Linked DNA regions of Bombyx mori. The protein of the gene in region 2 interacts with the protein of the main gene of each other region in a pairwise test. Links are inferred from orthologs where the notes say so. Each region holds a gene or a part of one and is shown on either strand. Other genes may lie near its edges.

Evidence for each region.
Region 1: the proteins of ubiquitin-conjugating enzyme E2 (region 2) and BmEts2 interact in a two-hybrid assay, tested with the Homo sapiens proteins (2 studies listed by BioGRID and IntAct, with this or other methods). The link is inferred for Bombyx mori from reciprocal best matches to the Homo sapiens genes UBE2I and ETV6.
Region 3: the proteins of ubiquitin-conjugating enzyme E2 (region 2) and mothers against decapentaplegic homolog 4 interact in binary tests that used the Homo sapiens proteins (3 or more experiments, as listed by UniProt). The link is inferred for Bombyx mori from reciprocal best matches to the Homo sapiens genes UBE2I and SMAD4.
Region 4: the proteins of ubiquitin-conjugating enzyme E2 (region 2) and double-stranded RNA-specific editase Adar interact in a two-hybrid assay, tested with the Homo sapiens proteins (2 studies listed by BioGRID and IntAct). The link is inferred for Bombyx mori from reciprocal best matches to the Homo sapiens genes UBE2I and ADARB1.
Region 5: the proteins of ubiquitin-conjugating enzyme E2 (region 2) and exosome complex component RRP45 interact in a two-hybrid assay, tested with the Homo sapiens proteins (2 studies listed by BioGRID and IntAct). The link is inferred for Bombyx mori from reciprocal best matches to the Homo sapiens genes UBE2I and EXOSC9.

The regions. Positions count from the first base shown.
Region 1 is NC_085119.1:10,451,250-10,457,891, forward strand, and holds BmEts2 (ets DNA-binding protein pokkuri-like), read right to left. Parts: upstream 4,453-6,642; 5' UTR 4,413-4,452; intron 3,181-4,412; 5' UTR 3,172-3,180; coding exon 2,904-3,171; intron 2,721-2,903; coding exon 2,163-2,720; intron 2,085-2,162; coding exon 1,835-2,084; intron 1,754-1,834; coding exon 1,399-1,753; downstream 1-1,398. UniProt on the Homo sapiens protein: Transcriptional repressor; binds to the DNA sequence 5'-CCGGAAGT-3'. Plays a role in hematopoiesis and malignant transformation.
Region 2 is NC_085114.1:7,030,896-7,036,667, reverse strand, and holds ubiquitin-conjugating enzyme E2, read right to left. Parts: upstream 3,658-5,772; 5' UTR 3,491-3,657; coding exon 3,425-3,490; intron 3,354-3,424; coding exon 3,270-3,353; intron 3,146-3,269; coding exon 2,883-3,145; intron 2,659-2,882; coding exon 2,592-2,658; 3' UTR 2,081-2,591; downstream 1-2,080. UniProt on the Homo sapiens protein: Accepts the ubiquitin-like proteins SUMO1, SUMO2, SUMO3, SUMO4 and SUMO1P1/SUMO5 from the UBLE1A-UBLE1B E1 complex and catalyzes their covalent attachment to other proteins with the help of an E3 ligase such as RANBP2, CBX4 and ZNF451.
Region 3 is NC_085113.1:9,078,882-9,084,911, forward strand, and holds part of mothers against decapentaplegic homolog 4, read right to left. Parts: intron 5,915-6,030; coding exon 5,810-5,914; intron 5,097-5,809; coding exon 4,966-5,096; intron 4,452-4,965; coding exon 4,360-4,451; intron 3,913-4,359; coding exon 3,744-3,912; intron 3,048-3,743; coding exon 2,921-3,047; intron 1,990-2,920; coding exon 1,845-1,989; intron 1,091-1,844; coding exon 1,021-1,090; 3' UTR 1-1,020. UniProt on the Homo sapiens protein: In muscle physiology, plays a central role in the balance between atrophy and hypertrophy. When recruited by MSTN, promotes atrophy response via phosphorylated SMAD2/4.
Region 4 is NC_085130.1:18,135,500-18,142,165, forward strand, and holds the start of double-stranded RNA-specific editase Adar, read right to left. Parts: upstream 3,685-6,666; 5' UTR 3,414-3,684; coding exon 3,383-3,413; intron 3,085-3,382; coding exon 3,068-3,084; intron 1-3,067. Other genes in the region: pofut2 (protein O-fucosyltransferase 2 precursor), read right to left, coding at 6,327-6,666. UniProt on the Homo sapiens protein: Catalyzes the hydrolytic deamination of adenosine to inosine in double-stranded RNA (dsRNA) referred to as A-to-I RNA editing.
Region 5 is NC_085119.1:13,152,233-13,157,149, forward strand, and holds part of exosome complex component RRP45, read right to left. Parts: exon of another isoform or gene 4,895-4,917; 5' UTR 4,500-4,894; intron 4,323-4,499; exon of another isoform or gene 4,271-4,322; intron 4,174-4,270; exon of another isoform or gene 4,083-4,173; intron 3,960-4,082; exon of another isoform or gene 3,729-3,959; intron 3,617-3,728; 5' UTR 3,566-3,616; coding exon 3,500-3,565; intron 3,429-3,499; coding exon 3,334-3,428; intron 2,670-3,333; coding exon 2,447-2,669; intron 1,709-2,446; coding exon 1,488-1,708; intron 1,292-1,487; coding exon 1,040-1,291; intron 1-1,039. UniProt on the Homo sapiens protein: Non-catalytic component of the RNA exosome complex which has 3'->5' exoribonuclease activity and participates in a multitude of cellular RNA processing and degradation events.

The DNA.
Region 1 (6,642 bases), on a different chromosome or scaffold from region 2:
TTTCTGCCGTGAAGCAGTAATGCGTTTCGGTTTGAAGGGTGGGGCAACCGTTGTAACTATACTTCAGACCTTAGAACCTATATCTCAAGGTGGGTGGCGCATTTACGTCGCACCTCGATGTCTATGGGCTCCAGTAACCACTTAACACCAGGTGGGCTGTGAGCTCGTCCACCCATCTAAGCAATAAAAAAAAAACTTGCAAATTGTAAAGCTTTCGATATGTTAGAAAGAATATGATGAAAATAATAAAGTAAAATAAGTAGTTTTAATTATGTAAGTATTTGAGTTCAATAAATCTAGAAACGTAAAATAAAATGGAATTTTTGAGATAACATTATTTTTATTTACTTTATAATAAATTTGACACAATATATTTTTACTGATTATTCAGGTTTATATTGTGTACAATGGAAGATGTGGCTACAAAGCCGAATATAAACTGTAAAAATACAAACACTGTTGTCATAGAACCTATTTCTTAACTACTAGGTACTTTAATAAAGCTCCACTTTGTTTTACAAATCGTACAACACACTTTTTACAGTCAATTTCTTAATAGTATCTTAATTAATACTTATCCTACTATTTACAAAACAACTTTACTTTAATCTATGAAATTTATCTACATTGATAAAAGAGATCACAGAAAATGTAGCTGGAAATCTTTGAATAAAAGCCCTAGCATATTCTAATTTGTCTACCACTTCGTTTATCACAGTGCTTGTTTTTAATTATTGATTCGAAGGCATCTTATTAAAATAACTCACGTTATTGTCTGTTGAATAGACTGTATTTAGAATTTAAAAGCTGTTCATGATAAAGCTGCCTTTTTGTGATGTGGTAGTTGTGGCGGAAAGTATGTAAAATAATAATAAATTTGAAATTATTTGCCAAGAATCAATGGAAGACATATATGACTAATATTTTCAGCTCTTTTAATCAAATCAACTAGAATTCTGTTTGCGAATTATACTTGAAAATAATATTAAAATTACACAAATGCAATGCGTGCAATGCACAAGTACCAACATTGATTTCAGCGACATTTTTAAAAACTGCGGGTCTTGAAATGGCGTTTTAATACATTGCACAATCTTAAAATATAGTTCCTATGACTTCGATATAAAATAATCTCTCATTTCTTTTACTAGTTAGTTAATTGACACTTTTATGCATAATAAATCACTTGGCACAAAGGCATTGTTTAAAGGTCCGTACCCTGTTAACTGTATTAACACACTACGACGAACTGTTCGCAGTTATCGTCGATATTTTTTTCTTCCGGAAGACTAAATCTTGTCTATGTGGAAAAAGACGAGTTAATGTAACAAATTGGTTCCACAATTATTATTGAACTTTGTCACACTTTAGTTGTGTCCTTAGTCTATCTCAATAAGATTACTGTTCACATTTTTCACTTTTTAAATTTAAGGCATAATGCTCAGCACTGTAGTCGACTTCGCGTTTCATTATCATGTTATCTCCGATAAGCGTACTGATCCGATGTTTGTCATGTTGCGTTGACGACGGCGGTGCGGTCGCTGTGTCAGAGCGTGCGCGTTTCCGCCAAGGCTCTGATGCAGACATACTCAAATCTGTAGGCATTTCTTCATCGACTGTTTCTTCGTCACATCTTTCTTCTTTCATTTCGGTTTTTACCAAAGTTTGTGGTACAACGCGAGTGGGACTCATTTGTTGTCGCAGTAGAGATATGTTTTTGATATTTTTCAATTCTGTTGGGTTTCTTAAGAACCTGTAAATTAAGAATGTTTTTGGTTAGTTCTTATTTTCTTGCAAGATTTTTAATACTGGCATTTGGAATACTGGTACTTACTGGTAACAGTGTCTTTCGCCCTGGACTTTGCGCAAAATATTAACACGGTAATAATATCTCAGGGCGCGGGACATTTTGTCGTAGTTCATGGATAGGTGATTTTTTTGAATTCCCCACAATTTGGCTAGTCCAGCAGGATCAACAATTTTAAACACGCCAGTGTCTCTGTTCTTCCATGCAATATAGTTTGTGTATCTTTGCGTTGGGTCATTCAGAAGTTGTTGTAAGAAGTCCCACAATAGTCTTCCATCTACAAGAAAACAAAGTATACATAAATATTGATGAAGGTTTTATGTTTATTTTGAAACAAATTTTTATTTATACGTACTTGTATTGGACTCTGGCATATCATTTGGAAAAAATTCCCTATGTTGAGCGCGGTAATGAGGATGTTGTTGTGTTGGATGATTTTGCGGGGCTGGACTCGTTATTGGAGCTTCTTTAGGAGAACGTGGAGGTGGAGCGTATTGACCCTCTTCATCGGAATCTGAATGATTACTTCCGGAACTGGCAGCTTGAGTAGTGGGGGGCACGGACGGTGCATACGCTGGCGCATAAGTTACAGTGTCTCCTCTTTGAGGACTTCCAGAACTATCAACTGATGGAGCAGGACTGAGAGTCACTGAATTAGGTTGAGCTGCTGCTGCTGCTGCAGCGCTGTGGAAATGGTGGAAACCATCAACAGTCCAAGTTGGTGTCGGTGGATGAGAGTGGGGAGAGGGCGGATACGGTGCCGCACGAGCGGTGGGAGTAACAGGTGAGGAAGGAACTCTACCTAACAGCGCTGCGTCGCGTACAAGCATTTGAAGAACATTATGTAAGACATCGCCTGCTCCAGGACACCTTTCACCCAAATCTGTTTTAGTAAGCAAGCATAATGCTTTACCTGTCAACAAAGAAAAAAAATGTAATGAAATAACCAAATTTTTCATTCAAAGTTTCATAATATAAGTAAGTGCGTTTGTTGGTTGTCATTATTTAGCTTAACATTAAAGCAAGAAATCGACTTATTTTAGAATTGCATATTATGCAGGTAAATAAAGTTATCATAAGCAAGCATGATGCATACCGTTCATTTGAAAGAGGTCCATATCAAAATTAGGTAGATCGAATTCTCTTTCACACCATTTCAGAAATACAGAAACATCCTCTCTGGTCCATAGTCTTGGTTCTGGCGGAAGACCGGCTGGCAGTTGCGCCTTGGTGTCACCAAGCGGTGAAGGAGGCGGTGGCGCCCAGGGTAGTGGGTAACGCCATAATAGTTCTGTTGGACTGAATGGTAGCGGTAGCCGCTCCATACTGGGCCCAGACGGCAGTTGTAAGCTTACAACTTTCATTACGTTAATCTGAAACAAATTTTCACATTAGGATTGACTTTGTGTTAGTATTCTGTATATTATTATGATTTTCAAGAGTTCGTTTTAATGTTCGCTATTTGATCACAGATGTCGCTGTTACTAGAAATAATTGTTAGATTATAAAATAATAATGTTTGATTAATTTAACCAATAGACGAACAGGTTCATTTATTCTTTGTGTTGCATCTGTAGTGTTGTATTTTGTTTTTACGATTAAATAACGTTATAAATTATGCGTCATTTTTAGTTGACATTTTAATATTATCGAAACATTATTATTTTAAAATATTGTGGTTACACCGATACTGTCAACAATGGTACTAGGTGGTAGGTTTGTATTTTTTTATTTTATTGGGTATTTAAATTAAATGAAATTATTAGCTATTGGCACATTTTTTTAAACTCACTAGTATCGCCTGTGGCAATTTTAAGGAAAAATCATGTTTTTTTTACCTGTCTTGACACGTCTATGTCACGGACAAAAGCATTTCAAATCACTCCCAAGTAATCAATCAAAAAAAGTCTAAGCTTATTTCTCGGTATTCGCTTAATATTATTCTAAGGTTGACGTGACTAACGTTTTTTAAAAAAAATGATAAACACATAATTATTTAAAGATTGTAAATAAGAAGTTACAAAAGTTATCTTTATGAGATAACCCGTCAGTAAAGCAGTTGAAGTATTATTACGAATAAATAGCCTTTATAAGACTATTTACTAAAACAAACATCGAGCTATAAGTATAATCAAATTAAACTTGAAACTTCGATGAGGGAAAAGTATATGACAAAAACATGATTTGATATGACAATTTAAAGAACAATATCCCGTGTCAACTATGAATGAAGTACAGCCACCTGCTGCTTTAGTATTGTTTAGGGTTGTAGGTAGGTATGCGACGAGACGACACCCTCTTTCAATCGAGCTTTATCCGTTGGACCATTCATGTGAAAGCAGTTTTCTGTACAGTTTTTGTCGATTCACTAACTTAAAAAGTTCACAGAGTGTGAAAAAGCCTATTTTGTTTATTTTATCGCAGATTACATAAAACAGCGGAGGGTTGACAATTCATTGCGATATTTGAAATACGTTCACAATATTGAAGATCTTGACCGGATTCGAATTCCATATTATTAGGCACTATACAGTCGCCTTATCGGGCGCGGTCGGAAATGCGTGAGTCCACGATAGCACAGTTTGCGATAAGCACCGCTACTCACCGGCTAAGCTGATCCGGAACTGGTTGCGTTGTCAAAATCCTTGTTGAAAACAGAAACTGGACAACTCAGTACACGTACATTATCATCACAAAAGTTAGCACAGAATTCAGTGTACACAGAGCACCAGACACACGCGTAACGGCGGTGATCCCTCCAAACGTGTCGTGTTACGGCACGCCGTAAACCAGCAGCGTATCTGAGGGAACGAACTCGCAAGCGAGCGTTTCGAACGGCTCTTCGACGCGGACTGATGATGCGGCGGCTGAGGGCGGCGCGGGCGGACGGATGCACGGCTGCCGTTCCCCCCGCATACCTCATCACTCCGCGCCACCTCACATGCTGAGATAAAACTTTGGTAGCTAGACCAAGTCCCATTTTAACTAAACATACGAGCAATGTTTCCGCAACTCGTTATCGGACTTGGCGCCGAGTGATGCTCTAAAATCAGTCGTTTTACAAGAAATTATAATTATCAAATACGGCAGTAGAATAATAATATTTTGTATAGATCCGTGTAAAAAGAAGATACATTCTTTGTGTTTTATTTGTTAGTATAAGGCACGCAGAAATACTAGTACATATTAGAATTACGTCAGCACACCAGTTTTTAATAACTCTCAATATTTCCTTGTGTATACCTATGTGACATTGTAAAGCGTTGCGGGCACCGGACTTGTTTTTCAATTAGATATTAATTTACATTAGGTTTTCGGACTTGTTACTATCTAAATGAATAAACAATTAAAACTCATTTTTTTCTATGTTTTTACATATCAGTAAACGGCGTCTTGGAAAATATTCATTCGACAAAGCACAGGAAATGTCTCGGTCGACAGTTTCCTGGTTCTGAGTAAGACAATACGAATGCTAACCGGTTTGAACTGAGCTCACAATATTTTACAGTCACTCTTTGGTAACAAAGCAATACTGATTGTTTTTAATTTACAAGTTCTGGTGGTTGTCAAAAATTGAAATCATGTGAATTATGTATCATAGAACTATAACATAAGAACGAATAGCCCATATTTGATATAATTACGTAAGAATGTATATAATATTCTGTATGCAACTGTGTTGTAAGTTTATCTTTTTTCAATACATAGGTTTTGCTAAAGGCTAGAGCAGACGAAAGTGTAGAAATTACTCATATGCCTGTATGTGTATAGTGTGTGTGGGTTGAGATTATGTGTGCCCTGGCTGTCGTCCCACTACCGGTTCGAGACAGAAATATTCGGCAGCCAAGACGGAAGTGGCCTCGGAATCTTTACCTGTTGCTCCCTTCGCCCGCGTCTCGCTCCCTAGTGCTTTCGTCTCGCTCTGGCGCATTAGCGCGTATTACTGCTACGGCGGCACGCAGACGGTCTTCGTGGAGTTATGTGCAGTAATTTAAAGAATAAAGACGACCAATGTTGTTTGACCGTGACCGCGGACATCAATTTATTTGTGGTTACATACACGTTTAGGTTAAATATTATCGATTTTTGGATAGGAACTATTTCCCTAAATATTGTTCAAGCTAAACCTAATTTTCGGAAGTACATAATGTGGGTACGTTAACGTACACTTAATTAAACTGGCAGACAAGCAAGCGGATTATTATCACACTCCATTTGATACGCGGTTTCTATCAAAATCTTTCGAGTGCGTGCAAGGATGGTACAGTGGACATAAACTTTGTACATGACATAACTCTGCAGATCGTACGAAATATGCTGCTGACGATTGCCGGAAGCACGCCGGCCGGACGTCCGCGTCTGTATAGAGAAGTTTCCTATATTTGCGAACATTAGTATTTACGTAACAATACTTAAATCATATTAAATGAATACTTTTTTGTTTTAACGAAATTAGTCGAAAAAATAGCAAATAACGTTTTAAAAATGGGCACAAGAAAGAGTGGGTGCGTAGGGGAAATATCTCGCTATCTCGAATGTTCGTAGCTAAAGGCTAAATGACGTCATGATACATTATGTGCATCCTTTTCTGCCATAATAATATAATAATTATGTTAATAATAAGTAAAGTGAATATAAGTATATTAATTAGAATTAAATAACTCATATATTTTTAATAAAAAGTGGAGTCAACTAATTAGTATTCGTAATTTCGGAAGGCGGGCTATCCAATAATGGCCCCAGTACACCAACTAAGTACATACTTCTAATCAACATTTTTTAATCAGTTGTCCGTGATTACGAAAACTAAATTATTCGAAAATGCGCTATTAAAG
Region 2 (5,772 bases):
TGTTTGCAGTTTTATTTCCAAAACACGAGCAATTTTACTGTTTTATATTTAAAATTTATATAAAAAGTTAGTTTATTACAGAGACAGATAAAAAGACGCCATAAATAAATGCGTCATTTCACGTTCCGTTCCACAGTATAAACAAAATTTTGTTACTTTTTGTGTAAAAAAGTCAATATAATTGCTTATTACAGAAACAATTACAATGCACATTAATTACAACAAATTTACTATGTAAATATATTAAAATAATAAAATATATTTCGGTAAAAACATGACATAAAATTTAACAAAATACAGTCCGCGCGCGAGCTCCGAGGATTTTTAAGGAATGTTGACGTAATGAGCTAGTGTTGTAATTAGTCGATATTGCGCTATCGATACTAACACATCTTAAGCCTCCGTGCGAGTGTAAATTATAAAATAGTTTTATGAGGGTATTATGTACTTGAAATAAAATAAAAAAAAACAACTGATCACGTATGAATTTAATTTAATGAACTGATACTTATTGAACAAAATGAACGTGAAATCTTATTAATTACTCTCGCAATCAGATTAATCAGTAGTTGAAGAATTTGATGTACTCTCCTCTTGATGTCACTCTCCTCACGTACTTCAATAATAAATGATTCGACAACATCCTCCATTAAGCCATCCTTTTGCTAGTAATATTCCTCTAATACTAAGACATGGTTATTATGCTAGTGCTCGCCATTCCTTTCTCATCAAATTATATAGCTTGCAAACAACAATACTTATAAGTGTAAGACTATACTAAAAACACACGTAATTAACATTGCTATCGCAAAATTAAAAACAACGAGTCAGTAAGCGCACTCTCATGTTAAGGTCGACACTAGTAGTGGGAGAGTGCGGGGTATGAAGCGACGGTCGGGCGCGGTGCACGCCCGCCCGCTTCCTCAGCCCACGAATCCTCGGAGCTCGCGCGCGGACTGTAGGTATTTGACTGGTGGGCACTAGGCGAGCGTCAACCATAATTTTTTATGTATTTATTATAATTTGTCAGGCTCTATGTCGTCAGCTACGTATAGCTGGTCATTTTTTATAATTTTAAAGTCGTCATGGCCTGCGGGATAATACGACCGTATGCGGTACCAATTTTTCTGATGAAAAACTTATTTCAAAAATGTTCACGATTGGCTTCCTCGATGAAGAGGATTAACATCGTATAATAATATCAAACTCGCAAAAAATATAATTTGCGTAATTACTTGTGGATTGTGGGTAGGGCGTCTTGTGAGCCCTCACAGGTAGATACCACCACCCCGCCTAATTCTGCCGAGAAGCAATAATGCATTACGATTCAAAGGGTACTTTTTACGACAGTACTCATGTCTGAAAGTGGGTAGTAGCATTTACGATGTTCATGTCTATGGGCTCCGATGACCAATTAACACCAGGTAGGCTGCGAGTTCGTTGACCCACACTGTCTAGAAAACTGCATTTTAGTGCGCGGCGATATGTTGAGGGACCGTCGCATATTCGAAATTGCGGAAAAGGACTAATTGGTTGTTGATTTGAAAATGGGTTATTAAGTGTATAATCTATGGGGTGGGCGTCCCTTAAACTCGTATAACAAAATCAAGTCTTCGAACTCATATCTCTAAGTTAGTCCTGGCATTATTTGGCAAGTTCAATGGGTTCTAATAATAGAAAATACCATATTAAATAGTTTCAGTTATTACTTAAAACTAGTTGGGTCGTGATCGTATAGTTCGCCTGTCTCTCACCTTTTGTATTTTGAGGTGCCTATTCACTACTAGATGGAGGTTTTTGTAGCTAATTTTTAATTATATCTGTCATCAAACTAAATAATGATTGCGTTTAAGCTGGAATAAAACAAATATTTGTTTAACTCCCAACTTTAATGAATATCAGCATGTGAAATGAAATATCTGATGTCAACTAACCATTTTGATAAATAAATAAAGTTATGAATTATTTGTTTTCCAAATAGTTACTCTGAACGGCTGATTAGAAAGCGCTGACTTTGAATAGTGAATGATTGTGAAAATAATCTGAAAAAATTTTAACTTAAAAATACACAGTAAATTGTAGAATTTAAATATTTATTGTTCATTAAGTCTAACATAAGATACAAAAATATTTTAAAATAACATAGATTCGAAATGTAACCGTATATTTTGAGAATTACAGCAACATGTTTGTATATTCGGTTGTAATTAAAATCTTTGATGCTTTTTGCTTGTTAACATTTCTGTTATTAACTTAACAAATAAATAAATACAAGTTAGCCATAAAATGATGAATTCATAATGGCTTCAAAATTTTCCAGAATTAAAATAACTAACATTAGCATAGTGTTGATTTGGTCTGTTATTAAAAACTTGCATTTACTTCAAAATTACTTAAATCTATAGTTTAAACCATCACTGCGTACTGTGTGGATTAAATACTTTTGGAACTGGAAAATACCATGAAGATAATGTTATAGCACAATCTCCAAAATAGCGTAGTGTTGCTGTTTTAATCTCCTGTCTTCACATTTATACTGCTTTTTAGGCAATGGCTTAGCTCATTAACGCTCCATTGTCCCATTCTGATATTTACTCAGCAGCAGCCATTGCACGTGCCTGCGCTCTTACTCGCTTGTCATACTCTAGCCGATTTTGACTGTAACAATAAAATTTTATTTAATATTGAGGCATACAAGTTTTGTAGGTCACAGTAATTAAATATTAGTATCACAATATGTGGATAGTTTCGTGATATATTTTCAGTAATATAACAAATACATATATTACAAAAAAATTCAATTTTTACAAAATTAAACATTATAAAACATAACAGTTCTTTAAATGCAATACGGGTATTGAAAATGTTTATGTTTAACTTACCAATAAATTGTGTAGGCTTCAGCTTGCGCTGGATCTTTTACGTTAGGCTCATTGAGAAGATCTTGAATACCCAACAAAATTTGCTTTATTGTGATTGCTGGACGCCAATCTTTTTCTTCATCAAGCAGTGACAAGCACACCGTACCTGATGGATACACATTGGGGTGGAACAGTGGTGGTTCAAATTTGCATTTTGGAGGACTTGATGGATAATCATCTTTGAAGATCATACGTAGTTTATACAGCCCACCTTCCCATGGAGTCTAAAAAGAAAAACCGGTTATAGTTTTAGAACTTCTACTACCGTAATTTACTATGCTTAAACTCAATAACTTTAAAACTGCATCAATAAGAAACAAGAAGTTTTCACGATATAGAAATACTAACCCCCTTTTTACCAGGTATCGCACATTCCCAAGTCATTAAATTCAATGAACCATCTGGATTCTTCATAGGCCTCGCGACAAAACCCTGAAATAGATGAATAGCTTATTTATTTACGAAAACATAAATCAATGTGTTTTCAACAAACAAAAACTTACAAAGGGATGGTCCTTACGCCAAGCTTTCCGTTCTTCAGCTAAACGTGCACTTGCTATCCCTGACATTTTCTACAAAAATAACTCGATTTATGAGCCGAGCTTCAATCAAGGGCTATTCTTAATGTTGGGCGATAGATTTTACTTATAATCGAGCTAAAACTAGAACGAAATTACAATAAAAATAAATGAAAAAGCGCGAAATAGCGTCCCTTAATTTCAGAGCGGTCGACAAAATTGTAGTATAGACTACAGATAAAAAATGAAAATAATCGATTCACTTTTTTTTCTTTTCTGCTGTAGGAAGTTAATAGTGTTGCTGTTGACATTTAATATTAATTTAATTTTAGCAGTAAAAACGGGTCTTAATTACGACGATAGCCGAAATTCAGTCTAATTAAATGTTTCAAAAAAATTACACAAATATTTATGAGCTGTTTTTAAAATGCAATTAATCTCTCTTTTATCTTTTTTTGCAAATGAAGATACCACAATTAAAATTACTTTTGCGACTTAGGAATGACTCCGTGTTAACGAAAATTGTAAGACCAAAATAGGTATTGGACGAAATGGCTAAGGAAGCCGGACACAATGTAATGCGCCTTCCACCCTACTATTGTCAATGCAATGCCATAGAATCTATTTGGGCGCAAATTAAAGGTAAGGATTTAAATAAATGTATTTAATAATTTATTTTTACCTATTTTAATATTTTATCTGTTGCTATATTAACACGTAAACCTTTATTTTAGATTGCGGCTCGTAAAAATATCGACCCACTTAGGGCCGGATTTAGACTCCGCTCCTGGGCAAAAAATCCGCCCCAATACTGGAATTTTACCAAAAATTATAGTTTATAACTATTTTTTTCAAAATTAAATAAGTAATTTCTTGCAGAAACTTTATCATATGTTATATATTCCAAAAACATAAATAAATATTTGTTTTTTTTCTAACAATTATAAATTTTGCACTAAGGGTGACTCATAAATATTAAATGAAAAAAAAAATTAAATTTCTTTAAGTCCAGAAAATGGAAAAATCGATTATTATTTTAAATGTTCAAGGAAATAAATTGACTAAATAATTTTGATTATGAATTTTTACCTAAAGTGCCAAAATTATAATTCACAAATAATGGATGAATTCAATTTTTTGTATTATCAATTAAACAGAAAATGATTAATTAATAGAATTAATTTCAAAAATTTTACTTCCAAAATTTTGCCGCCCTAAAAAATTGCCGCACTGGGCACTTGCCCCGACTACGCGACTGCCCCTAGTGTAAATCCACCACTGAGCCCACCATTTACTGCAAACAAAATGCTGTCATTGTTGCAAAAAGCTTGTGATAGTGCTACTGCCGCGAATTAGGAAGGTTAGGTTTTACGAACAAAAAATTAGTTTTTCGCTGATTGGAACAGAGACACACATATCGATACCATCATAGATAACCAAATTATAATAAATACCTTGTGTTTTTATCGCCTGAATCCCACTCCCGACTAGGTATCCTTCTGTCGAGGGTGACATTCCGCCCCCGCCTTCACACTAGGACGCCTCTACTCGATGATATGCAGGCGAAGTAAAATGTCCCTTAGAAATAAGGTGACGCTCTACAAAACTTGCATACGCCCCGTCATGCAAGTGTAGTGTTCGCTCACGCGGCCCGCACTCGCTTAAAATCATTCCAAGTTATTCAATCCCGTTTTTGCGGGATACCCGTCGGAGCCCCGTGGTTCGTCAGGAACGTCGACCTCCATGACGACCTGGCCTTAGAGTCCATCAATAAGTATTTGCAGTCGGCGTCGATGCGCCACTTCGATAAAGCGGCACGACACGAGAACCCTCTCATCGTGGCCGCCGGTAACTACATTCCCGATCCTGCGGAAAGAATGGAAAGCAGTCGACGTCGCCCCAAACACGTCATTTCGGATTTTCCCGATCCACTAACGGTGCTTTTACTCAAGCACCGGTCACCGTTCTCGTCGAACCCGTCGCTTGCGACGAAGGGCTCGACGAGTAAATTAAACCTTAGATCAGCCCACTGAGTTTCTCGCCGGATCTTCTCAGTGGGTCGCGTTTCCGATCCGGCGGTAGATTCTGCGAAGCACGGCTCTTGCTAGGGTTCGTATTAGCAACGTCATCAGGCTTGAGCCCCATGAGCTCACCTACTAGCTAAGGCGACGCTGAAATAGCATCTCAAGGCTATCAGCTTAGGTAGGATAAAAAAAAACGCCTGTATAGAAATATCGATTTCGGCTATTGATGATGAATAAGTTCCATCTTGATAAAAATATCATGTAATATTATCTAACTAAATTTAAAAAACAAAGTTTTATTATTGGATG
Region 3 (6,030 bases), on a different chromosome or scaffold from region 2:
CCACGGACATGTACAATGTAAATGCGCCACCCACCAAAAGCCCCATTGAGCCCAAATTCACGAATTACTTTATTTTTTGGTCATCAATACTTGTATTCTCTGATTTCTATGTTATTTATCAATACAGCCAAAATGTTTACTTAGTATAAATAAATACAAGACATAAATATAAGTTCACCTTTTTTACATAAACGCGAGCGATAAATCCCTACTTTACTGTGCAAAGTTTGTTTCATAACATTTAATACATTCTAGAGCCTTCTTACATTATATGCATAATAATTACACCGTTTTGTATTCGATAACAATATAACTCTTTTCTTTAATATAAGCTGTGCCCTTTATTTTTATTTTGAACTTTAGTGTCATAGTAATAACGAAAGTATTGGAAAAAAATATATATTCATATATTTTTAAACTGTCAGCTTTTAATGTATATAATCTTTATACTTTCAACCATTTCATGATCCAACAGATACTTCGAACATTTCCAAATAATAATTTTAAAAATAAAATTTGAAGGAAGACAAACAATTAAAATAATCGAATTTTGGAAGACAAAGCCGAAAACGAATTATAAAAAAATACAAAATAAATAAATCAACAACAATTAATATGGCAACTAACTTGTTATTATTGTATCAGAATGGTGTATTACTCACATTTATCTTTTCAACGTTCCTCTGCGTCTGTTTAATTGACATTTCTATTGCTATGCAACACGCTGTATGTATGCACTTGGTAATTTAAGAGATTTACTCAAACCGTACAAATCTTCACATTACGATGCATACAATTTCCGTTGTAACACACCACAAAAAAAACAAAAACGCAACAAAATTAAACCAACACTAAACGGTTTTCAACGATCACAAAACTGTACATCTCACAACACCAACACTTTATATTCCTTTACACGTGAACGCGACACAAAGTCGTCCGGAAACAAACTTGCACATTTGAGTCGCGCGACAGTTGCGCGACATTCGCTCGAAGGCCTCAAAAGAAGCCGATCAACTCCTACTCGATGGTCGACCGGGGACCGTCGATGGGCATCGTGTGCAGTACCTCGTCGAGGAGCTGAAGTGCTCTGTGGAAACATCATAATAAATAAACACTCATTGTCATCATTCATAAGGGATCTGTCCCTTTCACATACAGCAAGTGTTGTCCAATTTATTTCACATCACAATGACGTCATCATTTAATATATTTTCCTCTCTGTCTAACATGAAGTTTAAGCCCTTTAACATACATTTTTGAGTAGACTTTGATTTTGAGGTTAGCTTTTGTTTCAACAAATTTAATCGGACTTTTTGGCGGGAACACGAGGAGTGAAGTTGTGTGATTTGTTTTATTTTGTCTAGTTAGTGTTTCTTCAGATTTAATTGTGTAATAGTGGTGGTTTATTAACTGTTTAGTATCTGTGAAAGTGCACAAATGTGGGAAAATGAAACAAAGCCCTGAACGTAACTTTTCGGGATCTTCCAAAAAGTCCACTGAAAAAGTCTCAGTAAATGACCACCATTTTACTGAGATTATACTTCATCTCATATCATCTCATGTCATGCCATTTCATTTCGTTTTCATTTCACTTCATGCCATGTTTCATAATAATCAACTTCATTTCATTTTCATTCATAATATCATTTTCATATAAAAATATCGTATCATTAAAATTAAAATAAGACTTGACCTAAAGGTCTTAGTTACCAGGTCATAAAATCCCTTAAAAAAAACAAATTTAATCAGCGTGTATATGTATGGTTCATAAAATGTCACTGGATTGTATATAACAGATTAAAGAATTATTAGTAAGAGAATAGTTCGTTATTGAGAATTACCTATGTAAATGCACTTCAACCCAGCAAGGCGTCTCCTTGATCGAGGTTCGAGGGTAATCAGGGCCCCAACCCTTCACAAACGAGAGCCTCACGATACACAGGCGTCGCAAATCGTCCACTCCTATACCGGCGGCCGCAGTTAGACCTGTCAAAAGATATCAATATATATAATGTCCATAATTAGCAAATTCAAATTGATGATTTTTTATTTCCTTGCCAAAATTTAGGTATGTGGTGAACAATGCCAGTATAATTTTTGTTGTTATTAGCATAAGTGATTGCACAATTAGAAAAATTAACCCTTTCTCTGTACGCTGGCCAAGCGAGTGTCTTCTTGGTCCAAGCTACTCCGCATTCTGGAGTATGTATATCGTTTCTTGGGTAAGCTCCCTCGCTTGAACCGGACGCAACTTGCAGATCTACAATTTACTGAGATTGCTGTCATAAAAGCGCTTCAACACAGTGCTTTCGATACGGCATCGACGCGCTCTCCAAGGGTCACCGATCTTTGTGGCGAGGCTTGGGGGAAGCCTATGTCCAGCAGTGGACATCGGTGGGCTGATAGAAAATAAACACCACATGACGAACGAGGTCGCCCACCTTAAGACATTAATCTTCTTTTAATAAGTATAGTTTTGCTAGTGTATGATTGAAGAATATTGATAGCTAGCTTTTTATTATCGGGTAACCAAATGAGGTCAGTGTCTACCTTACCTTAAGCGGTTACTCAAGCTCTTAGGTCACTCCGAAACATGAAGTTGATGTTCTGAGTTATGGTATATGGATTTTTTTTATTGCTAAGATGGGTGGAGGAGCTCACCGCCCACCTGGTGTTAAATGGTTACTGGAGCCCATAGACATCTACAACGTAAATGCGCCACCCACCTTGAGATATAAGTTCTAATGTCTCAGACATAGTTACAACGGCTGCCCCACCCTTCAAACCGAAACGCATTACTGCTTCACGGCAGAAACAGGCAGGGTGGTGGTACCTACCCGCACGGACTCACAAGAGGTCCTACCACCAGTAAACACGGAAGGAAGCACGAGTTAATGATGATTGCGGCGTTGCATACACTTATTCATGGTGGGGTGTTGCGGCTGAATGTGTCCGGCGACGGCGGCGGCCTGCGCGGCGGCGGCGGCCTGCGCGGTGGCGGCCTGCGACTGCATCTGTCGGTGGCACTGCCTCAAGTCGAACACCTGAAATGTTTGTACGTAACAAACACTATACAATAAACGCGTCACATCTAGTATTACTCATATACAAAGATTACAAAATTATCTTTATGCAAATTTTCATACAAAATTAACTTTAAAAATAAAGCAATAATGGCGAAGTTAAAACAGTAGTGCACACAAAAATAGTGCATTTTTTTGGAACGAAGTTCCTTACCCTAACCGGGAAAGAGCCTCTGTAACATAAGATTTTTATTATTTATGTATAGTCTTAGTATGATAGCTATACAGTATCTAATACATGATAATAGTCTACGTGATGGCGGTTATTATTATTATTCATATAAATAGCTGTTTCTCTGTACATTAATATTATATATTTTTTATAAATCATTGTGAATAAAATAAAGTTGATAACTTTGTAAAGTAGTTTTTTTTTTATCAATAAAAATATCATAATAAAAGAAGTATACCCAAATAATTGTTTTCTTTATACCTCGAATAGAACTTAAAATTAATATTTTTATAATAAGGAAATTCGTTCCTATCCTGTGTCCCACCCCACCACACATCTTTTTTATTGACAGTTCGTTCCCCTTTAGGCACCTAACTTAATGTCTATTTTTTTTAAGAAATGGTCACCCTATCCTGGCCGCCTTTCCATGCCAATGTTTACTCCAGTACAAATAGGCCATTACAAAAACCAGATTTCTCAATTACCTTTATACAAGCCGATGGGTATATCTTGTGAACAGCATCCCCAGGGGCTCTGCCAGCCTCCCGATCCAAATAATATGATTGTACGAAGACCGAATGATCCGACAAACATCGAAGCCACACGTCACCCTCACCGCGCAAATCTAACTGAACGCCTTTGCCTATGTGTAGTCTGGAATCAGAGTGTTAATTTTAATAAAAAAAAAATGTCTTTTAAAGGTCGTAAGGTCGATCAGAAAATAGTCTATAGAATCCAAAAAGACAATTAAACTACAGCTTATATTGCAAGTCCGCATGGATGGGTGTCACCGGCAGTGTAGAACTATTTTTTTAAGAAAATTTATGACCTGGTAACTAAGACCATGGTCATGTCTTATTTTAATTTATATCCTTATTTTTATGAAAAATGATATGGGATGAAATATAATCTCAGTAAAATGGTGGTCATTTACTGAGATTGTAGTAATAAAACAATAACATTCAGCCACAGAGTATACCCAAATATAAATAAAATATTAAATAATCGACATATAGAAAACTGTAATGAATACTAATAACTTATCGGATATATTTTTCTATTGCATTTATACATTTGTCTATCTATATAAAAGAAAATCACCTTGCCCGTTCACTTTGTTCCGTTCTGTGGACATTACTGAGAGCACCTAAACAGAACCTGTTCCCACCTGAAGGATCAACGTAACCGTCCACCTGTAAATTAAAAAAACATTATTCGAACTTAAAACTCCAAAATGTGAATGTCTAGTAATATCAAATAAATGTCATAAAATTGTTGAGTTTTGTATCTGTGCATATCTTACAATTGCTGAAAATTTATTAGCATGTAGGTTGGGTAAAATGTCAATGAATATTAAATATGACATTTAGATAATAATATGACAACGGACCTCAACAGGCTTTGCTCATTGTAGAGGCAATCACAAATCTGTTAGTTGTAATGATATTCTTTATTATGATAATTTTATACATTCATCAGTTTGATGGGTATTGGTCTGTGATATCCAAGTTCGAGACCAAAATTTTTGGCATTAAGAGTTTGAGTGCATGTACATACCTTGTTTTCATCTGCATACAATGTACAAAGTTTATCTAATGTGTACCAGTGTTTGCCCAATGATCAAAATTGGACCATAGCCAATGACCCCGATAAACCACCTTCTATATTGTTGATATCAATGATAAATAGACATTATTTTCTACTCACAGTAACATTGGGTCTACTGGAAGGTACTTTGAATGTTTCTCCTACTTGTGTGTCAAGTTCAAAATACGCAACAGAGCACCAGTATTCGGGCGCTGGTTGACTTGAGAGTAAGCCACCGGGGTTGCCATTGACTGCAAAAACAAATCATACAACAAATTGGTAACACTGTTAGATTAGTAAAATTTATACTTTTCCAGTTCATTATAAATATACATTTTGTAATTTAAATAATGTATATATCAAATAAGCATCGTTTAAAAATATTTTATGCAAAAACCAATAAAACGTAATTCCTTTTTGAATTATTTATTACATTATTTATTTTAAAACTCGAGTATCTAATGACATGTATATTAAACTGTCTAGACTGTTGGTCAAGAAGTTTGTATATCCGAGTGCACAAACAATGGACTCAGTATGAATTCCCAATTGGACTGAGTTTTTTTTTCTTGTTTGGGGCTCTGGGAGTATTTTTTTATCTTTCACACGTAACCGTGTCATGTTACAATGAAAAAAAAATTTAAATTTTTGACTGTTCAATGTGATATTGTTATATATTGTTGCAATTGTTTTTTAAACGGATTTGTTGTCTTTTCTTGTATTATCTAGCCGCAAATGAGTCTTAGTATCTTACTGGAAGTCATACACATTTCAAACTCTATGCAGCTAGTTACTTAACGACATAAGGTCAGTTCTCATTTGTATTAATATCAGCGTCCGGGTCATCAAATCAGGAAGCAGGACCGCTTCAAAGGAAAAATTATCATGATGTTTCTTTCTGTTGCAGGCTCACAATACACCCTCTACCACTCGTGTCGCAGTTTCAGCAGTCAATGCCACTTACAGTAGTGGTGGTGATGTGCGGGGGCGTCGAGGGGCAGGGGCGGCGCGGCGGGGGGCGGGGCCAGGCTCTGCGTGTACGTCAGCGTGTTGTTACCCGTCCACGTTCCTGTTACAGCAACGTCGTGTTATATATATACAGCATCTACCACATGGTTATGGAAAATTACTCAATACAAATTATAATTAAAATATATATATATTTTTTAATTTTTTTATTGCTTA
Region 4 (6,666 bases), on a different chromosome or scaffold from region 2:
TCAGAAAAAGAATATTATGGAATAAATTTAAAATGTCACTTGAACATAAAAAGTCATCAGTACAAAAATATTTATTCTAAAATGATACTTAAAGCCTAATTTATAAGGTTAAAAATATTTGTTTAAAATTTCGTGCTTATTGTATTGTGAAACTAGATGTAGTTCTTGGTATTACATTTCAATGCTCAGAACACAGTAAGTATTGAAAGACATAGAGTTGCAGAATATACATATTTGTTTTAGGTTTGTTTTGTATGGTCGCAACTATTTTTGACCGATTCAAAAAAGTAGTAGATAATATTTTACATTGCCGCTATTACAACAAATAGGTGATAAAAAATAAAATTGAATAAAGTAAAAAAAATATGAAAGGAAACACGAAACATGTTTTCCACGTATTCTTTATACAGAAGTAATTAAAACAATAATGTAGGTTTAATTAACTTTAAACAGATTCAGTTTGTTATAAAGCTGTCTTTTAGAAGTCATTTTTATATGAGCGGTTTCTTTTTTACAAATATAATGTAATCTTATATCAATGAATTTTTCTATAATCAGTTTAATTTAGGCTTATTTTATGGCTGTGTTCGTTTCCCCCAGAAAACAAATCCTTTTCAGCATATACGCTTAAAATATTTACACATACATATAAAGTTTTTTTAATACTTTTTTGCATTGATTTGCCACCACCATTGAACAATTCTAGAATTTTTATAAGAGTTCTATATTTCTTCTCCTCTTTCTTTCGCGACAATATATATCCATTGTGCACAGCGACAAGGGGCTACTAGGAAATCTACAAACAAAAATAACATTATAAAATAACAAAACTACTCTATGCATTCCCTGTCCAAGAATAGGTGATGTTTGTTACAATAGTTGGTGCCTTGTTGCAAACATTGGCCAAACAATTACAATATTCGTAAATTGTGTTTTATTTACAATATAATTGTGTTTATTATTTTATGAAAAACACTTAATAATATAAATTTACCAAAAAAAGATATTCCTTCCAAAACCTTGGTGTTACGGTGGTTTTTTACTCAGTTTTTGAACGCGCATTGCAGCGTTTTGACGTCTTAGTGTTGGCTATGATTGGACCATACTAATTTGAAATAAGACCACAAATTTATTTGTGGTCTTATTTTTCGGGCCGCTTTTGAAGCGCTAATCGCGAATCTAGTAGTATTATTGATCGAAGAAATGTATTCATAGTTTTTGAATTAACAACTATCATCTTTTTTTCCTACCTATGCTGACAGCCTTGAGAGGCTACTTCAGCTTCTGCTTGACGTGTAGGTGTGCTCACGGGGCTTTAACCGGGAGTGTAGCAAGAGCAGTGCTTCGCAGAATCTACCACCGGATCGGAAACCCAACCCACTGAGAAAATCCGGTGAGAAACTCAGTGGGCAGTGTCTATGGGTTAATTCACTCGTCGAGCCCTTCGTTGCAAGCGACGGGTTCGACGGGAACGGTGAACGGTGCTTGTGGTACTTAAAAGCACCGTTAATGGATCGGGAGGATCCGTAATGACGTGGGCTATCCTCACAAACTTAGCTTCTTTTAGATTTTAAAGGGTTGTCCCCTGGCCACATGATCGATGACTTTCCATCTCTCGTGAAGGTCATAGCCAACTGTATCTCAAATCTCAAAACTTACAAATTTTACAGGAGAGTGTTTTAAAGGTTTAACATGTGATATTTTTAATATTAATCATCTTTGCAACATTTATTTTTTAACAGTTACATTATCTGCCTTTTAAAGTAACATAAAATTATGTATTAATTTTGTTAATGGTAGTCTAAATATAGGTAAACTAAAAATAAATAAAAAATAACTAAACTACGCTCTTTTGACAGTATTTATGAGAAAAATACTGGTGATGCCAAATGATTCCGCATATTAACTCAATTTCGAATATTTTTGGAAATTGTACACATTTAATGCGAAAGGACGATATATAAAGATAGGTAAACAAAATACATACAGGCATAGTTGAGATATTTCATTCAGAAAAATTACCCTCCTTTTTGTACTGGCTTCTAGTCTCTCTCATATGATTATTGGTTATGCACAACCCCAAACTTGTCGGAATGTATCTACTAAGTCATAGGAGGCTTATCAGTAGTTTTTTTTATTCCGTTGAGCATTGATACAATAATTATAGATATTTGAAGCAAGAAAACTATTGATATACTGCAATAAATGGTCGTTCGGTCTGATGTTGATAGGCATGTCACTCCGGTGCTGCCGGCGGACGCTCGGCACTGCATTAGTAATTGAGTAGCTGCTCTTATGCATATCCCAGCCGGTAGTAATCTTTTCCATTTATATGTATATTTATTTTTTGTTGCTTTAATTTTTGTAATTTATGCTCGGAAAAAAATGTTTATTATTGTTATTATTTGACAGGTTCATGTTTTTGTGTAACAAATTCAGTTTTTTTTTTTAATCTAAATTACCTACAAAATATTCTCACTGTAGAAGATGGCAACTGAAATCCTTGAGTAGTAGCAAGCCGTAGTAAACTCATAATTACTTATTATATCCGACTAAGTTCGCACAGCATTTTCTTCTATTGTTTTCAGTTCAAAGCTTCAACGATTTACTTTGATTTACCTCGTTCATTCGAGCAGTTAACATTTTTATGGTACTAGTAGCTTTAGTAGTAAAGAGTTACTTAAAATCTGGTGGACCAAGCTGACTATGATAAAAGGTGATATGTCCATAAATGAGGAGTACACCAAATTGCATTATACAGATTTTCTTGCAAACTCATACGTCATCATCAATTTTAAATACTTTAGTTATTTATGATTCATTGATAGAATTTACATTAAGAGTAAATATTAACAGAAACATGGACAAACAATATAGCAAATGAAAATACTTGTGTTTGAAAAATAAAAAATAAATTTTTTTAGTTTGTAATCAAAATAAATATAATCAAATTTCATTTTAGTAGGATCTGATATGATAACCATTATATATTGAGAAATATAAAAACGTGGATATTACGTCTTTGGTTCTTTGGCTTAACTTGTTTTTTTTTAATTTAAAAACTTACCCAAACATCAAATACATCTGAAAATTTAATTTTGCATTGATCATTAGTGCTCGAATATAAAACATTATTTTAATTTCAACAACTCATCGTGTAATAACTTTTACAGGTACATACTTCTAGGAATATAATGGAATTGTTATTGAAAATTGAGAACATATTTAATCGAATTGCATATTGTATTCATAAAAAGGAAAAAGTAGAGGTTATGCCTTTTAACTTAAGAAATTCTGACAAACCCAACAAACGAAATATTAATATGATTCTCACTAATTTAATTTAATATTTTTTAAGTTATCTTTATATAAAAAAACTTACCGTTGCTCGTGAAATCTATTGGCTTATACATTATTCTGGAATTATCTGGACTCTTTAAGCGTTCTATTGTAATAAGTATTACATAATTTTGTACTTTGTTGTCGAAATAAACAATAGTTATGTTATGTCTCAATTAAAATTTATTAAAAACCCGATTTTCGATTTTGTATGTATGTAAACAAATCATTTTGAAAATTCAAAAAAATCAATGTTTACTTTCGTTCAGAAACTTATTTTATATAGTCCGTTTATTTTCTAATAAAATATTTTACCGATTTTTAAAAGATTAAATACATTTTTGTATTTGTTATTATAAATTAATTGCTATAAAACGGCAGAACGAATATTTAAAAAGATAGTTTTGGATCATAGAATTTCCGACCTACCTACATTACGACGACAGTCAGGTTAGAGGAATTTCGCAGCTTTTTGGCGGGAATATAATATATTATAGTCACAGTTGTGTAAATAGTTTAATGTTGTTAATTTTGCATAACTTCAAGTTTAATAAAATTATAAAGGTAATTTATTAAAAGTTTTACATCTGTAAAAGCGCATAAGTGTGTCATTTTATTGAGAAATTATTTCTTTCATTTCGTCTCATTTCATTCTATTCTATTTAATTTCACCCTGAATTATTACGATTTAAAATAAACCAAGTTCACCTAATTCCGCTCCGGTTTTCTACTTTTTATAAAAAAATAATATTTTTTCAAAAATAGCCTCCACAGCAAACTGTACAGCCAGAAGCCAATTGCCACACTGAAAAGTAGGGAGTCCGACCGACGGACCGTCCAGGCGCTAGTCGACGACTCTACATCGGTCGTCTCGATAAGGCAGTCCTGCAGGCCGCCGACACACCCTGCTGGACCTGAACCAACCTGCTGGGTCGGAAGACCATACACCGTAAATCGCTTGATCTTCCGCAGCACTTCCATAGAACCGTAGAATTGCTGTCATGCGGCGCGCTAGAAGAGTGCATGTAGCAGACCATGCGGTCTTAACCCCTGAAGTCCTTCACGGAAAGAACGGGGTTGCCTCCTAGCGGGGCCGGAGCCGGGCGAATTGCCTTCTCGAGGCCCTGGCTCGGCGGCAACGAACTGGTGCGGAGAGCTCTTCCTCTGTCGTTCCGGTGCTTCCTTCTGCGAGATAGTGGACTCGCAGAAGCCGAGCATCGCTTTTCAGGACTCGCCGGTGCCGTGTATCGTAGCTATGATCGTCTGCTGCGATAAGTCTGGTTTTATTTGCGAAACGAGGATACGGCACTGCCCCAGCCACGCGGGGCAGTGCGTGTGTGCTCGATTGTTGTAGCCACAGTAGAGGCACTCCATCGTTGGTTCTCTCAGGGCGACGCGGTGCAGGTACCGGCCGGAACACCACTGACCGATGAGCACTTTTGTCAAGCGGAAGGTGAGAAACCTTCGGTCGCCGTTTAACCAGTTCGCGAGGACTGGGTGCACCGCCTCCACTGTCCGAAGACCGGCGGACGGGTTCAGTAGACTACGCCTCCAGCAAGGACCGCTGAGATTGAAGCCTCCGCACTCTAATCGGTCCTGCGCCAAAAAAAAAAAGTAAAATAGATCGTATTTTACATTATTTTTTTTCGAGCCTAGGGCCGTACCTCCTATGAGGTCCCCGCGCCTAGGTGCCGCGCGGGGTAGGTGAGACTCAACGATCTGCAGGTGTTGAGAGCAGACAGGCCCAAGGAACTTTAGTGCCCACCCACTAAACAACTCCCCTGCACTCTTACACCCGACGTCCGATCTCCATCCGGGGTCAAAACCCGGTCAGAGTAGGGGGGTTCCCGCGGTCAACACTACAACACGCGGCGCCACACGATCTATTTTACCTAACGTAACTACACTATCATGCCAATATAGCAGTTTTACCTTGGGTCCTAAATTAAAATAAAATGTGCATATGTAGAACATTACATTTATTTCACTATTAAGTTTATAAAAATCAACTCATTTCTAAACTCTTTAGGGCCCCACGTTCAGAGTGCTATGAAATTTCTGTATATTATTTAAAAGAGGTTTGATTAAGAGTCCGACGGATAAGCAAGAGTGTTATCTTGCTTCTGGAATTGCTGATGTATATAGGAGATGGTGGACGACCTTCGTATATAAGTACTATCAATAGCAAAACAGAAAATAAAACTAATAAAAAAGTTGATAATTTAATCTTTGGTATTAATTACATAAATATCACATGAAACATTTTTTAGCGTCTCAAACATTACATCTGTCTTAAAAACAATTGAAGTAACATTTTTATGAAACAGAATATAAAGTACACTGCCTCCAGGGTTATCTATCAAGCAAGTCACCACATGGAATCTAGAGATATTCCTTGAAACGGTACACCATTGAACTGTGCACCGATACATTATAGAAGTGACGGTTGATGCATCATTAAATAATCTAACATAGGTCTTTGTTCTATTCTAATTTATAATAATGAATTCAAAACTGCATAATATACTTGTTTTATTGCCTATATGGGTGAACGAGCTCACAACCTACCCGGTGTAGTGTTATGTATAAAAATTAAAGACCTAACAACGAAAAGTCAGTGTCACAATATTAAATCAAAGTTCTATTGTATTGTATTATGATAATATCCTACTTCAAAATAGACCAGATGACTGTTTGGCTACAGAATTAAACTGGATGGTGGTATATACTTGTACGGACTAACTATATACCTTGTCACCAGTAGTCAGGGTTGATTTACAAGTATATTCAGAGAATTTAAAGTCCAGCTGTACTCATTCTTGCCTTGTACATTTTTGTTTTTTTAACTTATCTGAATTTAAAATATAATGTATCTATAATAGTGAGAATCATATTTCATTTTTTTTACATATATTTATGTAGAAGCTTTGTTTACTCTAACATAGTTTTTAAGTTTTACTATCATCTATGAATCCTGATCACATTATTTAATTCACTACAGTCCAACGGGATGGCTTTTCGCAATTGCCTTTGTCGGGGCACAGCCTATTGAACGTAGTATCACTAGGAAACCCTAATAACTCCCTTTCCTCTTGTATTCGGAATGTAAAGGTACTTTCATGTGTGCCCACAAAGAAGGCAGCATGTGAACAAATTATTTGTTCTAATATCGCAATAGTACCATCATCAAATTCGGTAACTTCAGCTATATTAGGTACATAATAATGTACGTTATAACCTAAAGTTTCTAGATTATTCTGGAGTATTTCTCTTTCTTTGGCCGATGCGTCTGTAGCTATGAAAACTGTTTGCACATGAGGAAGTTTG
Region 5 (4,917 bases), on a different chromosome or scaffold from region 2:
GAGTCGTCTATTATCAAAGCCGGCAATCTGACTTTTGGACAATGATTGGTAAATCAGAAAAACGAATTATTGACTTTGTATTCCATTGGCAGTCACAAAACTCTTTGGAACGACATCTTAGATAAATAACAGGTTAACTATTAACCTTTATTTAATGCAGGTTTTGAACCGTATTCTTTGAAGGAGACGATTATATTCAAATCAATCTGAATTGACATATCAATAAAAAAAAATTGTCCAAATGCACAGATTGCCACCTTTGATAATAGACGACTCATGTATAACATTTTTCTATCGAAACAAAAATTTTATTCCTTGTTTCTGCTTCATAAATAATGCTTTAACATGCTTTGACATTTCATTTCATGTGGCTATACTCACATTAACCTTAATTACAGACTAGGGACAGTAAATTAAATAAAATGAACACAAAAAAAAAGTATTATATTTTTGAATAACCATATATTGATTTATGATCATGGATTAGCTAATGATAACTAGTTACCGAAGCACAAGTAATAACTCATAGTGTACGAGGACTATGGATCTAGTAAGGTATAGGGACCAAATTGGCTTTAAACCTGCTTTCCTGGGTTTTTTTTCTATCTATGCCGTTAGCCTTGAGAGGCTATATCAGCATTACCCTAGCATGTAGGTGAGCTCGCGGGGCTCAAACCGGAGTTGCAAACACTGGCCCTGGCAAGAGCAGTGCTTCGCAGAATCTACCACCAGATCGGAAACGCCACCCACTGAGAAGATCCAGTGAGAATCTCAGTGCAGTAGTATCTGTGGGTTAATTTACTCCCCGAGCCCTTCGTTGCAAGCTACGAGTTCAGGCGAGGGCGGTGAATGGTGCGGTGCTTAAGATACCTCAAAAACCGAAATGACGTGTTTAGGGCGACGTCGACTGTTTACCATTCGGTACACAAGATCGGGTAATTTCCTCAGTAAACACTTGGAGGACAATTTAACCAAATTTTATAATAATAAACCGTATTTCCCCTCTTACAAAAAATACATAAATAATTAAATGAATCACCTCAAGTTGTCATCCTTGGCAACGGCATTTTTTATAATTTCCACATATTTTTTACATTTGTCTGCAGCACTCAGAAGCGCTTTATGAACTATATTAGATGTGTATATTGCAGCTCCTGTCAAATCAAGTAAACATACTTCTCTATATTGATTCATTCCCAAAACCAGGAGGCCTCCTGCAGTGTTGATGCCTTCCTCTGTATTACTTGTACACACTGATTCTTCCAGGAAATTAGGATCGGTGAGTAAGATACTGAAATAAATAAAAATGTAAGCTTTAATATCTAGCTCACACAATGTTTTAATCTTCTAAGTCAGATTAAACATGTGTTGCTAAAAAGTAGTCATTCTTTTTGATTGGCATGGTTCAGCAGACAGCAATTCTACATCTTATTCGAGCCTTCTAATTAATCAATACAAAAGAACATTTGTAATTTCTCAAAACTTACTCATTACTGTACAATGCAAAAGTTGTACACACAGGATAATGATACAAAACTGTTGGTATTGGGTCTTTCTCAGTTAATGTGTGAATAATCACTCGGTCACCATCTCTTGTAAAGTCAGGTCTCCTAAAGTGTGCTATTGAGGCAAGTGTAGCTATACTTGCACATTCAGTTAAGTTACCATCATGGTTTAGAACTTTAATATTAATTCTTAAAGACCAAACCTGAAATTTAAACATAAAATTTTTGTTTACTGCGGTCAATAATGTAATTACATATTTGTTAAAACTTAGTTTGTAAACTACTTTGATAATTTATAAAAACTGTTATATATGTAAGAATAGTAAGTAGTAGTTTCTGATTCCATTTATTATAGCATGAAGCTACACAAAAACTATTTTTGGCAAGATAACCCTTTTTTCCAAAATGAACTGATAACTCAGACCCTCTGAATAACTTTAAAAAGCCTTGTAGTTTTTTTCTATTGATACAAAATACTAACATCCAAAGAAGAAGTTGTTTTAATTAGTAGAGGGTCGGTTTTTAGAGCTCATCAACCTCCAAAATTGAGTTAATTTATGATTTCACAACCAGAATCCCTGGCCTAACATATAAAATACTTACCCCACTCCATAGAAATAATGTGAATGGCACCACTCACCATGAGACATGAGATTGAGGGCTCATTTTAAAACAGAAGCATTGTAGAAGCACTTTGGTCAGAAATAGGCTAGACGGAAGACACCACACCCACTGCCTACATTGCAGCCTATCTTCAGATATTTAAAAGTTACTACAAATGTTATCTAGAGTTTGGAAATAAATACTTTAGAAATATTTTAAATTAATAGTGGAAATAATTACAAAACAGGAAAACATCATAGTGTGAAATAATTCTGTCCATATGGCATACAGAATTGCTTACATCTAGATCTATTAAGGTAAGATTTTTTTAAATTTACCTTTTCTTCTACTACAATGCAGAGTGATTCCAGGTCTATGCATTTTGAATCTTTGTAACATTTTTCTAATAATCTTACAAGATAAACAGTGAGATCTGTTTGTCTATTGGCTTCAAACTGTGGAGCGGCCATAGGATTAAGTTCAACATTAATAAATATGATGCCTTCATTTGGTCTTATTTGTTTTGGCTGAGCGACTTCACATGTGACTTCTGATAGGATCCTGAAATTGAGTAATTTACTTTTTAGTTACCCATGTCCCCCAACTCCAGTGAATGCCACCAATGAAAACAATTTTTCATATTCTACAGATCTCATTGGGCACTAGGGATCCCACACCAATGTAATTTTAAGATAGTAGTCATTTAATATTGATAGCTTAATATTACCCTTTAGGTCAAGTTCATAAATAAGTAAGTAGCTCATAAGGCTTTAGCAATTTTAGGACAAATTCATTTAAAGTTTAGGTGTTATTCTCTTATTCATCATATCTGAAAACTGTTAATTAATGAGCAATGGAGCATTTCCTTGTTGCTGTGCTGGTTCACAGATCACAAAGACACTCACTTTAAGACATGAAGTCAGTTAATTGTATTGCAAAATTTCTATCCAATATTCTGTGATAGTATTCTTTTATGTTAACGATTTTTTACTTTTCATTCAAGTTTATTTACATAATATCATTTTAACATTTTCAAGATGTGGTTAAATTAATAACAAAATAAATCAATCTAAGAATACAAGACAGGTCTACTGAATTTGTTTCTCTATATCCTTCAATTGTTCTATCTATCCAATAAACGCTGTTTAAATACAAAAATAACAGTATATACTGCTTCATTTACTTTGTTTATTTACAATTTGTTAGTGATTCAGTTCCAACTTACTTCGTTTCTCCCAAAGACACAATACAGCAACCATATTCAGAACCAAATGATATATCTAGTTTTCGGGTTTCATTAAAATTTCGACCGTCCAAGCGCTGTAATCAATTTATTTCCAAATTACTTTTGTAGAAGAGTCTTAGGTTATATTCTATTAGTTTCAACTTACATGTCCTTGAGATACGATCTTTTGTATGAAATTCTTTTCACAATTCGATAAACAAGTATCACGCATTTTGTTATTGGTTCATATTTTTTTGTGAATATTCTGTTTAAAGAGGCATACCTAGCAATAAATGTGTGATTATTTTTCTTAGGTTATCTGTTAAACTTTTTTTTTAATTCCACTTGTTCAATTAAACAGGCAAAGGGAATATAGCCTAAAGAACTAAACCAAATGAAAGTCACACCTTTAACTGTTTAATTTAAATTAGCTGTGATTAAATTAAAATGACCTGTCATATTGTGAAAATTTATTGAAACTTCAAAGGAATTATTGTGGATTATGGAATTACTCTACAGCAACTGGTGGCGTTTGCTACATATAGAAATGTACTAGGTACTTCCAAAACCTTTTTGGAAGACCTCGAAAAGTCACGTCCACAGATTTTGTTTCACTTTTTATATAGGTACGTTAACAGATACTAAATTTGAAGCGACATCGAACTGTGAAAATGATACAATTCTGATCATGCGCTCTTCGGCTCCTGGTTAATCCAACCTAGATAAGTCTCGACCTCAGATCTTAATTAATACTTAAAACTTCACGAGAACTGCGTATATTTCACGAGGAGCGTAACAACGTTCCGGAGAGATCCGTACTGTGCTACGGCTCGGACAAATGTAAATATTATAAATATTATATAATAATACTTAAAATGTATATATTAAAAATTTTAATTCTATGATTGATAAAAATTACATTTTGTTCGAACTCTAGAGTAGCACAGGAGCTCAAGTAATATCTGGGGCACAGGTGAACAGATAGGCAGGTACGTAAGCGGCTGACACAAACACAAACTATATAGGCACAAGCTAAGATATGAATAACAACACCTGGGATATGGGCAGAGCTCGAAATTCAAATTGTATTCTATAAACATCTTTCAAACCACCAAACCCCATTAATGTTTTACTGCTAAAATAAATAATATAATTATTTTACTTACCAGTGCTCTCTTACATATTCGATGTGAGCTTAATGTCCCAATTAATACGCAAACTACATTTTTTTGCGTAGATAGGTGAACGAGCTCACGGCCCCACAACCAACCCAGGGAACGCCAGTTAACGATCATAGGTCAGTTTGGTATGATACCTACTAAAAAACACTTAACCATTCTCCGTTGAACCATCCTTAGACAACCTTTACAACACCCATGGGATGAGATGGGGCGGTGCTGCTATTCTATGACACCGCACATACACCGATTTTTGAATTGTAATCTTATTTATGTTAAAATGAACTGCGTAATGTAAAGGTAAATAACCACCGTATTAAATTTTCTAATGGTTTTCTAATGTAAATCATAAGGCATTTGACATAGCATTGACAGAACGCGTGCTGCAAATATGGTAAAAGAGGAT